2 linked regions of the Mus musculus genome follow. The protein of the gene in region 1 purifies or fractionates together with the protein of each later gene. This does not show direct contact. Links are inferred from orthologs where the notes say so. Each region holds a gene or a part of one and is shown on either strand. Other genes may lie near its edges.

Region 1 (4,145 bases):
TCTTAAGCACTGAACCATCTCCCTAGACACTAAAGATGTCTGTTGCTGTTGTTTTTCAAGACAGAGTTTCTCTGTGTAACCCTGGCTATCCTGGAACTCACTCTGTAGATCAGGCTGGCCTGATTCAGAGATTTGCCTGCCTCTGCCTCCTGTGTGCTGGGACTAATGTTGTGTCCCACCATCACCTGGCTCTCTAAAAAAAGTTTTTTTAAGTATATTTCTTTTAAAATTCTATTTTGTTGTTTGCATTATAAGAATGTGTTGCTTGGGCTGGAGTGATAACTCAGCAGTTAAGAGCACCACTGACTGCTCTTCCAGAGGTACTGAGCTCAAATCCCAGCAACCATATGGTGGCTCACAATCATCTGTAACAAGACCTGATTCCCTCTTCCAGTGTCTGGTGACAGCTACAGTGTACTCACATATAATAAATAAAATAAACCTTAAAAAAAAAAAAAAGAATGTGTTGCTTGTGTGGTGTGGTGGTGCATGTCTTTAACCCCAGCACTCAAGAGGCAGAGGTAGGTGGATCTCTGTGATTGCAAGGCTAGCCTGGTCTACAGAGCGAGTTCTGTTAAACAGAAGAACCCTGTCTTGGAAAGAAAAAGAATATATATGTGGTGAATGAGACAAGAGTGTTTGTCTAGTGTGCATAGAACCACGATTTGATTGCTAGTACCACATAAATTGGAGACACAAGCCAGTAGTCCAGTAGGAAGATCAGAAACTCAAGGTCTTCCTGTTTGAGTAACAAAGTACCTTACTTCCTGGATTGGAGAGATGGCTCAGGGCTTGTTGCTCTCCCACAGGAACAGAGTTCAGTTTCCAACACCCACAGAGTTTGAAACGCTTGAAGCTCTAGCTCTAGGGCATCTGATGCCCTCATCTAGCCTCCAAGAGCACCTACACACAGGTGGCAGACACACATACACAAATAAAAATAGTAAATCTTTGATATTTTATTTCTTAAATAAATAAATAGCCCAACAGGGGCGTGGTGAGGCACCTGTAATCCCAAACACTCAGGAGGCAGCAGGTGCCCACATAGCAATATGGTTTCAAACACATAGAAATTCAGAAGAACAAACAAGAAATCAAAAACCTTGGTAAATTCAGAGGGCCCTGGATACAGCCAAGAAAGGGATTAGGATCAGGATGAAATGTGTTTGCTTCTAGATGGGCAAGTGCTGAAGAGAGTACATTTGTTTGTGAAGTGAGAAAGCAGCATCGGCAACGGAGAGGTTGGAAACACGAGCAGAGGATGCGACAAAGAGGCGCCCGGCCCCACGACCCTACATCATAAGCAGCGAAGGCGACGCAGCACCTGCCGGTCGCAACAGCTTCCGAAAAACGAGGCCAAGTGAACAAGAACGAGATCGCCGAGCCCCGCAGACTGCTGAGAAACAGAAGGGACTTGGGGGGGAATAAAGAGCTGGACTTGACTTCCGGCACTCTACCGGAACACACAGACAACGGCTGCTGTCGCCCGGTAGCCCCACCCCTAAGGCGGGGCTGCGCCGGAAGAGAAACAGTCCGCCGGAAAGGGAGGGGCCACGCTCGGGAAAATCTCGTGCGCCGCTCTCACGTCATCAGAGGGCGGAAGCGCAGACTGCAGGATGCGGTTCCAGGTTGCGTTGCTCCTGCTGAGTGTCGCGGTGGCGAGTAAGGACCCCCACCCCAGCCCAGCTCACTCTCCCCTTTAGGTTCCCCATTCCTCACCTTGGTGGGTCGCTACGGGAGCCGGCGTCTTTCTTGTCTGGCCCGACCCTGCTCTAGCCATCTCCGCTTTCCCATTCGGCCATCCCCGCTAGGCTCTCAGAAGTCAAGCCCGCTTCTCTTCTTCCGAGGACTTACTGTTTTTTGTTTTTTGTTTTTTCTGTTTGTTTCAGGAGCTCTGCCGTCCGTTTATAAGAGAGACGCCGACTCAGGTGACTCTCAGAATCCTCCGAATCAGCCTTCCAAACAGTCCTCCACTCCCCTGCCTTCTTCTAACCAGGTAAAGACTACAAGGCCGACCGACGGTCAGGGGCAGAAGTCAGATAAAAAAGACCAGGACAAGACGACTTTGGCAGCAGTTTCCAGTAAGGCGGAATCTGGGCCGCGGACCGCCGCGACCGATCACAGTTTGGGTGATTCCAGAAGGCAGCCCGAGAAAACGGATGCCGAGTTGAACGAAACTGCGCGGCCCCTCTCACCAGTCAACCCCAAACTGGAAAAGTCTGATCAGAGCTCCACAGAAGATTCAGGCAAGCCCACAGGAGGTAATTCTGGCAAGCCCACAGGAGGTGATTCTGGCAAGCCCACAGAAGCTGGTTCGAATAAGGCCACAGAAGATGATTCTGGCAAGTCCACGAAAGTTGATTTGGACAAGCCCACCTCCAAAATCTCCCCAGATACGGAGACTTCGAAGACTGACAAAGTCCAGCCAACTGAAAAAGGACAAAAACCAACACTTACTTCCAAAACTGAATCTGGGGAAACACTGGCAGGGGACTCTGACTTCTCTTTAAAGCCAGAGAAAGGAGATAAGTCTTCAGAGCCTACTGAAGACGTGGAAACCAAGGAGATTGAAGAGGGTGACACAGAGCCGGAAGAAGGCTCACCACTTGAAGAAGAGAATGAAAAGGTGCCGGGCCCTTCCTCCAGTGAGAACCAAGAGGGGACACTTACAGACTCTATGAAGAATGAGAAGGATGATCTTTATAAGGACAGTTCTGGAAACACCAGTGCAGAGAGCAGCCACTTCTTTGCATATCTAGTGACCGCTGCTGTTCTTGTTGCTGTCCTCTATATTGCTTACCACAACAAACGAAAGGTAAGAGGGGACTGGGATTTCCAGGACCCTAAGTTCTTTGTTCATGGACAGCTATCTGTCACTCATCTGCCTGTGAGCTTTGAGAATTTTAAGATCATCTTGTTTTTTCCATAGACCCTGCTGGGGCTTATAAAACTAAGTTTTGTAAATCAGGTGTTTTCATCATGTGACTTGTTTCCTCTCAGTTCTGCTGTAAAGTGCCAAGTTGGACGTGAGTCATGACCTGACCTAACTGTAATTCCCCTCCCCTAACTTGGAACTCAGATCATTCCCAGCCTCTTGATATGTAGACCTCTTCCCCCTTTTCCAGGCTTAAGATAGTTTACCATTTCTAGCTTCTATACCAACCATCTTCCATCTGGAGGCAGGAAGAATGTTTTCAGTTACATAGTTACTAACACCAAAAGTAGAAAGCCAACCAACAAGAGTTGAAATTGCACAAATGTACACATCTTTGGGGTTAAAGTGTTACCCATGAAACAACTTTAGAAACAACTCTATATGACAAAATTATTGTATTTCCTACTGAGCCATGAGATTTAGAAGACAATTTCAGTAACTTGACTTATTGAAGAGTTCAATTTGTGATAGCCTTTGGGCATAAAGAATGGAGAGTGTACATTCTTCATTTACATCTAAATGTCCATGTTGAGAGCAGTAAATTAGAGAAAAGTTGTTGAAACAATGTGTGGGCACAAAGCAAGTGTTTGTGGATAGGAAACAATCAGTAATTATCCCCACCCTGCTTAAACCTAGAACTCTGGCAAAAGAACTGGTAGACCTTTAACTCTAGCCCCACAGTTAAGCCATAAAGATTTCCACGGGCCTCAGCCTCCATCTCGTGGTCCTTTTTTTTTTTTTTTTTCAAGACAGGGTTTTTCTGTATAGCCCTGGCTGCCCTGGAACTCACTCTGTAGACCAGGCTGGCCTCGAACTCAGAAATCCGCCTCCCTCTGCCTCCCGAGTGCTAGGATTAAAGGCATCACCACCACCCTGCTCTCTTGGTCCCTATTAAGTAGTATAAAGGATTTTGTTATAACCAAACCCTTTTAAAATCTTTACAATTTATTACTTTTGTGGTGTTGGAGGTTGAACACAGGTGACCTGCATGCTAGACAGTTGTTCTACTATAGTGCTATATCACATATCACATGCTTGGCACAGCATTCGCCTAGTATCCACAATGCCACGATTGCACTCCAGCACTGGAAAGAAAGTGTGTGTGGGGTGTGTGTGTGTGTGTGTGTGTGTGTGTGATTTAAATAGGCCTCTCTGTGGATCTAGGTAAGTGCTTCTGATTTCAGGAACTGAATGAAGTACAGCATTACAG
Region 2 (3,975 bases), on another chromosome or scaffold:
GTGAGCTGACTTCCTGGGTTTTGCTAAATGGAGAACAGCAGTTCTCAGACTTGTTGTTTAGCAGGCAGGGCACACAGTGCACAGCCTGGCCTGGCTGCTGAAGCAGCAGAAATCCTAACAGGATGCCCTCAGACAATCCCCAAAGCACAACCCTGAAGCCTGGGGCCCCTTGGGAATGAAACAGCAGAGCATGAAGAACTATCTAAAGATGGAACAAGAGCCCGCTGTGATCAGCACCAAACACAGAAGAAATGCCATCTACTTATCGCTAAAAAAAAAAAATCTACAGGCTCTCAGTAAAGCTGCTCTTCTTATCCTCACAGTCATGTTGTACACGCTAAAGGAATCGCACATTTTCTCTTATCAAGGGGATGAGCTAAATGTGGAGAGTCGTCTAGTGTTTAAACCCACTAAGGGATCCAAGATGGCACTCCACAGTTTGGCGGCATCCTCTGTCTCTCTCTCAGGATCCACCTTGCTACCTCAATGGGAGCACTACTGAAATTTCAAAATCTGCAGTTTTCTTTTTTAAGATTTATTTATTTACTATATGTAAGTACACTGTAGCTGTCTTCAGACACACCAGAAGAGGGCATCCAGTCTTGTTACAGATGGTTGTGGGATTTGGTTGCTGGGATTTGGACTCAGGACCTTCGGAAGAGCAGTCGGTGCTCTTACCTGCTGAGCCATCTCACCAGCCCCAAATCTGCAGTTTTCACAGCACTCCCTTGCCCTGCAGATCACTAAACCATGATACCCTGAGCCAGGACAACATTTTATGGCTCACTGACAACAGAACCCCAGGTCATTGATCTGCTCTTTCTATAGGGTCTCCATCGGATCACAAAGAGGTCTTGGGCTTTCTTCACACCTAAAGCTAATACCTCTTAGGCATCCAGAGAACTTTAATGAGGAGACAAGCCAACTGCTTGCCAACAGACACCCCCAGAGGTAGGGTGACATCCCTGGGAGGCTGATGCCACAGGTGCCTTTCTACATACATACCTGTGCTGATCCAGGACTTCATCTTTGTGTGACTAGGAAAAAGCATTGTCAGCAGCCAGGGTATTCCCAAGGCGAGGGAAGTCTCCTGGGGAAGCAAAGTCCGTACACACCACACTTGCTCAGAGTCACCATGGTTCTCAAAAACCTGGCTGCTGCCACCAGCCACGCTTGCTAGACTTAAACCCTAGCAAGCAGGGGCTCCCAGCACAACAACCATTCAGAAAGCAGGGCTAATGAGAGTCAGTGTCCACCCCACACAAGCCAGGCACAGGGAAACACTGTTTCCATGTTCGTTACTGAAAATAAAAAACGAATCATGAACCCCTCCCAGAGTCAAAAAGACACTTCCACCTTCCTCCCTCCCTTCCTTCCTCCCTCCGTACCTGCAGCTAGGAATAACTTGAAGATGCCAGAGAAAAAGGGAATCAGCCATGTGCCTTTGACATTCAGTGTCTGAGTAGGGGTAAAGTCGGCGGCTGCTCATGGGCAGTCCATCCTACTCAAGATTCTACCCCCTATCTCCCTAAGCCGCGATCTACCTCCATTCTTTTCTGGTCGTGTACTGTTACTCAAAATCAAGTAAGGAGGGCTACAAATCTTTGGAAAAGATAACTATATTTCGAAGCTCGTTAGCTAGTAAAACACCACAAACCCCTCAGGAGAGAATACAACAGCCTAGACAGCACCAACCAAGGCAAGGATCCCACGCTCGCTCGGTGTCCACTCGGTACCCAAGCCGAGATGACTGCCGAATCAGAACCTGTAAGCTCTAAGACTCCCGGCCTCACTACCGAACCCACCAGAGACACACACCGAGGAGGGACTTGGGGTTAGGAAATGCGGACTTGGGGTTAGGAAATGCAAGCGCAAAAGGCTAGGTAGTTCCCGCCGCCGTGAGCGGCCAAGGGCCGAGGTGGGCAGTGTAGCAAGTAGAACGGGAGGTCTGACAGAACCACGGTACGACCTCACTGCCGGGGTGCTGGATGGGGAGGATAGGGAGGGATCACGCCTCTGATCACTGGAGCACCAGGGTTCCAGCCCGACCAAGGTCCCCAAGATCTGGGCGCAAGACGAGAGGGTCGCGGGTTCCAGTTGGGCGGAATGTGGCTCGGGGAGCACCGGGTTTCGGGTGACAACGATCCCCAAGATCCCGGAGCAGGGAGTGGGGCTCCGGGGTGATCTGGGCGGAGTACGGAGCAGGGGGCAGGGAGTCCGGCGGAAGGGTTGTCCCTATGATCCCGGCACAGGGAGTGGAGCGCAGTGTCGCCAGCGAGATAACAGCCTCCAAGATCCTGGCGCAGGGCGGTACGTGGCTCCGGGTGCCCGCGCCCCGCATGCGGGAGGCAAGTCGCTGCACCCAGAGCCGCGGGTGAGCCGGACAGGGCCGGAGCTCGCGCCGCTGGCCTGAGGGCCCGGAGAAAACTTGAGGCGCGCGTCCCGGCCAGGGTCCCCACATCTGCTGCCCCGAGCCGGGGAGCACTCTCGGTGCACGGCGCCTCCCCGCTGCAGGCCCGGGTCGGCGCACAGGCCTCGCGGCACTCACCTTCCTGCCGGCGCCGCCCCCGCCCGCGGCCAGCGCGGAGCCGCCCCCCGAGTACATGTAGTAGGCGATGCCCAGGACCCAGAGCAGCGCGAAGCACAGCAGCATCCGCGAGCGCCGCCGCATCCTCGCTCTGGGCGGCCGCCGGGCAGCCTGGCGGCGCGGCGGGCGGAGCGCGCGGCGGGCGGAGCTCGGGGCGGCGGCGCGGGAAGACGCGGCGCTCGGCGGGCGGCGCTCGGCGCTCGGCGCTCGGCGCCCGGCAGGAAGCGGCGGCCCAGCGGCGGGGTCAGGGAGCAAAGGGCGACCAATCGACGCTGAGGGGCGGGCGCGGGGGCGGAGCCGAGTCTCCATGGCAGCGGCGCCCCGCCCACTGCGCGCCCCCGGGAGTGGCAGGTGGAGGCAGCGGGCGCGGACGCGCGGTTCCCCAAAGACTTGGAATGGGCCAGTCTGCAGAGATCGCCCCGGCCCGCCATCCGTCACATTCACTATTTGGGCAATAGTGGGTTCTTGGGTTTTTATTTTTTATTTGTGCTTTCTCTTTTTTAATATAAGGTCTCATCCTATAATCCAGACTGACCTCGAACTCACCATCCAGCCCATGCTGGCCTCAATCTCGCAGCACTCCTTTTGCATCAGACTTCTGAGTCCTGGGATAACAGGAATGCACTGCCCTGTGGTCTGAACAAGACTAAGACAGGGAAGGTAGATTTCAAGGCGCTTGCTTGTAAGGATGACCCTTCCTGCTCTTAAAAGCAAAATGGAATGGTGGTGGTTTTAAATAAACGTGAAAAAGAGGGGAGATAGATGGTAATTTATGTTTTTAAATCTTTTCGGTTTTTTATTGGTTGCTTTCTTGAAGGAATGAGGTGAGCATAGTAACCCACTTAATAGAGCAGGCAGCAGCGAGTTCCCTGACAGCAGCTCTGGTGACTGTAACCTTGTCCATGACCTTGTGACTCTAAGTCCCTGTGTCTGGAAAAGAATTTCCAGTACTTGAGAGCCTGCAAATATTTCTGAGATCTGCCCACACTGCAGGAGGAAGGAACTCCCTGGGCGGCAGTCTGCCCAATCCTGAACAAAGAGCACCGCAAGCCTTGGGCTACCAGGATTCTGAGCCTCACCTGAACTTCAGACTTCTCAGAAGTGAGAAGGGAAAGCCTCTTAGTTCCACCAGACACCCCATTCCTGAAGACACCCCATTCCTGAAGACATCCCATTCCACCAGGCACCCCATTCCACCAGGCACCCCATTCTGCAAACACCCTTCACAGAAGACAGGTTTCTCATACCCTAAGAAGTTCCGTTCCAAGTACTAGAATCCGAGCACTGTACTGACCAGGGAAGAGATTTGTAAAATACTGAAGAGATGACAGGCTTGAAAACACCCAAGAGTCTTGGGGACAGTCAGATAAGTGGGAACAACTGTTGCC

What was found.
Region 2: the proteins of Tgoln1 (region 1) and Galnt2 purify together in Homo sapiens (affinity purification with mass spectrometry; 3 studies listed by BioGRID and IntAct, counting the BioPlex papers as one, with this or other methods). This does not show direct contact. The link is inferred for Mus musculus from reciprocal best matches to the Homo sapiens genes TGOLN2 and GALNT2.

The regions. Positions count from the first base shown.
Region 1 is NC_000072.6:72,614,194-72,618,338, reverse strand, and holds the start of Tgoln1 (trans-Golgi network integral membrane protein 1 precursor), read left to right. Parts: upstream 1-1,338; 5' UTR 1,339-1,616; coding exon 1,617-1,662; intron 1,663-1,889; coding exon 1,890-2,815; intron 2,816-4,145. UniProt on the Homo sapiens protein: May be involved in regulating membrane traffic to and from trans-Golgi network.
Region 2 is NC_000074.6:124,230,223-124,234,197, reverse strand, and holds the start of Galnt2 (polypeptide N-acetylgalactosaminyltransferase 2 precursor), read right to left. Parts: upstream 2,805-3,975; 5' UTR 2,672-2,804; coding exon 2,549-2,671; intron 1-2,548. UniProt on the Homo sapiens protein: Catalyzes the initial reaction in O-linked oligosaccharide biosynthesis, the transfer of an N-acetyl-D-galactosamine residue to a serine or threonine residue on the protein receptor.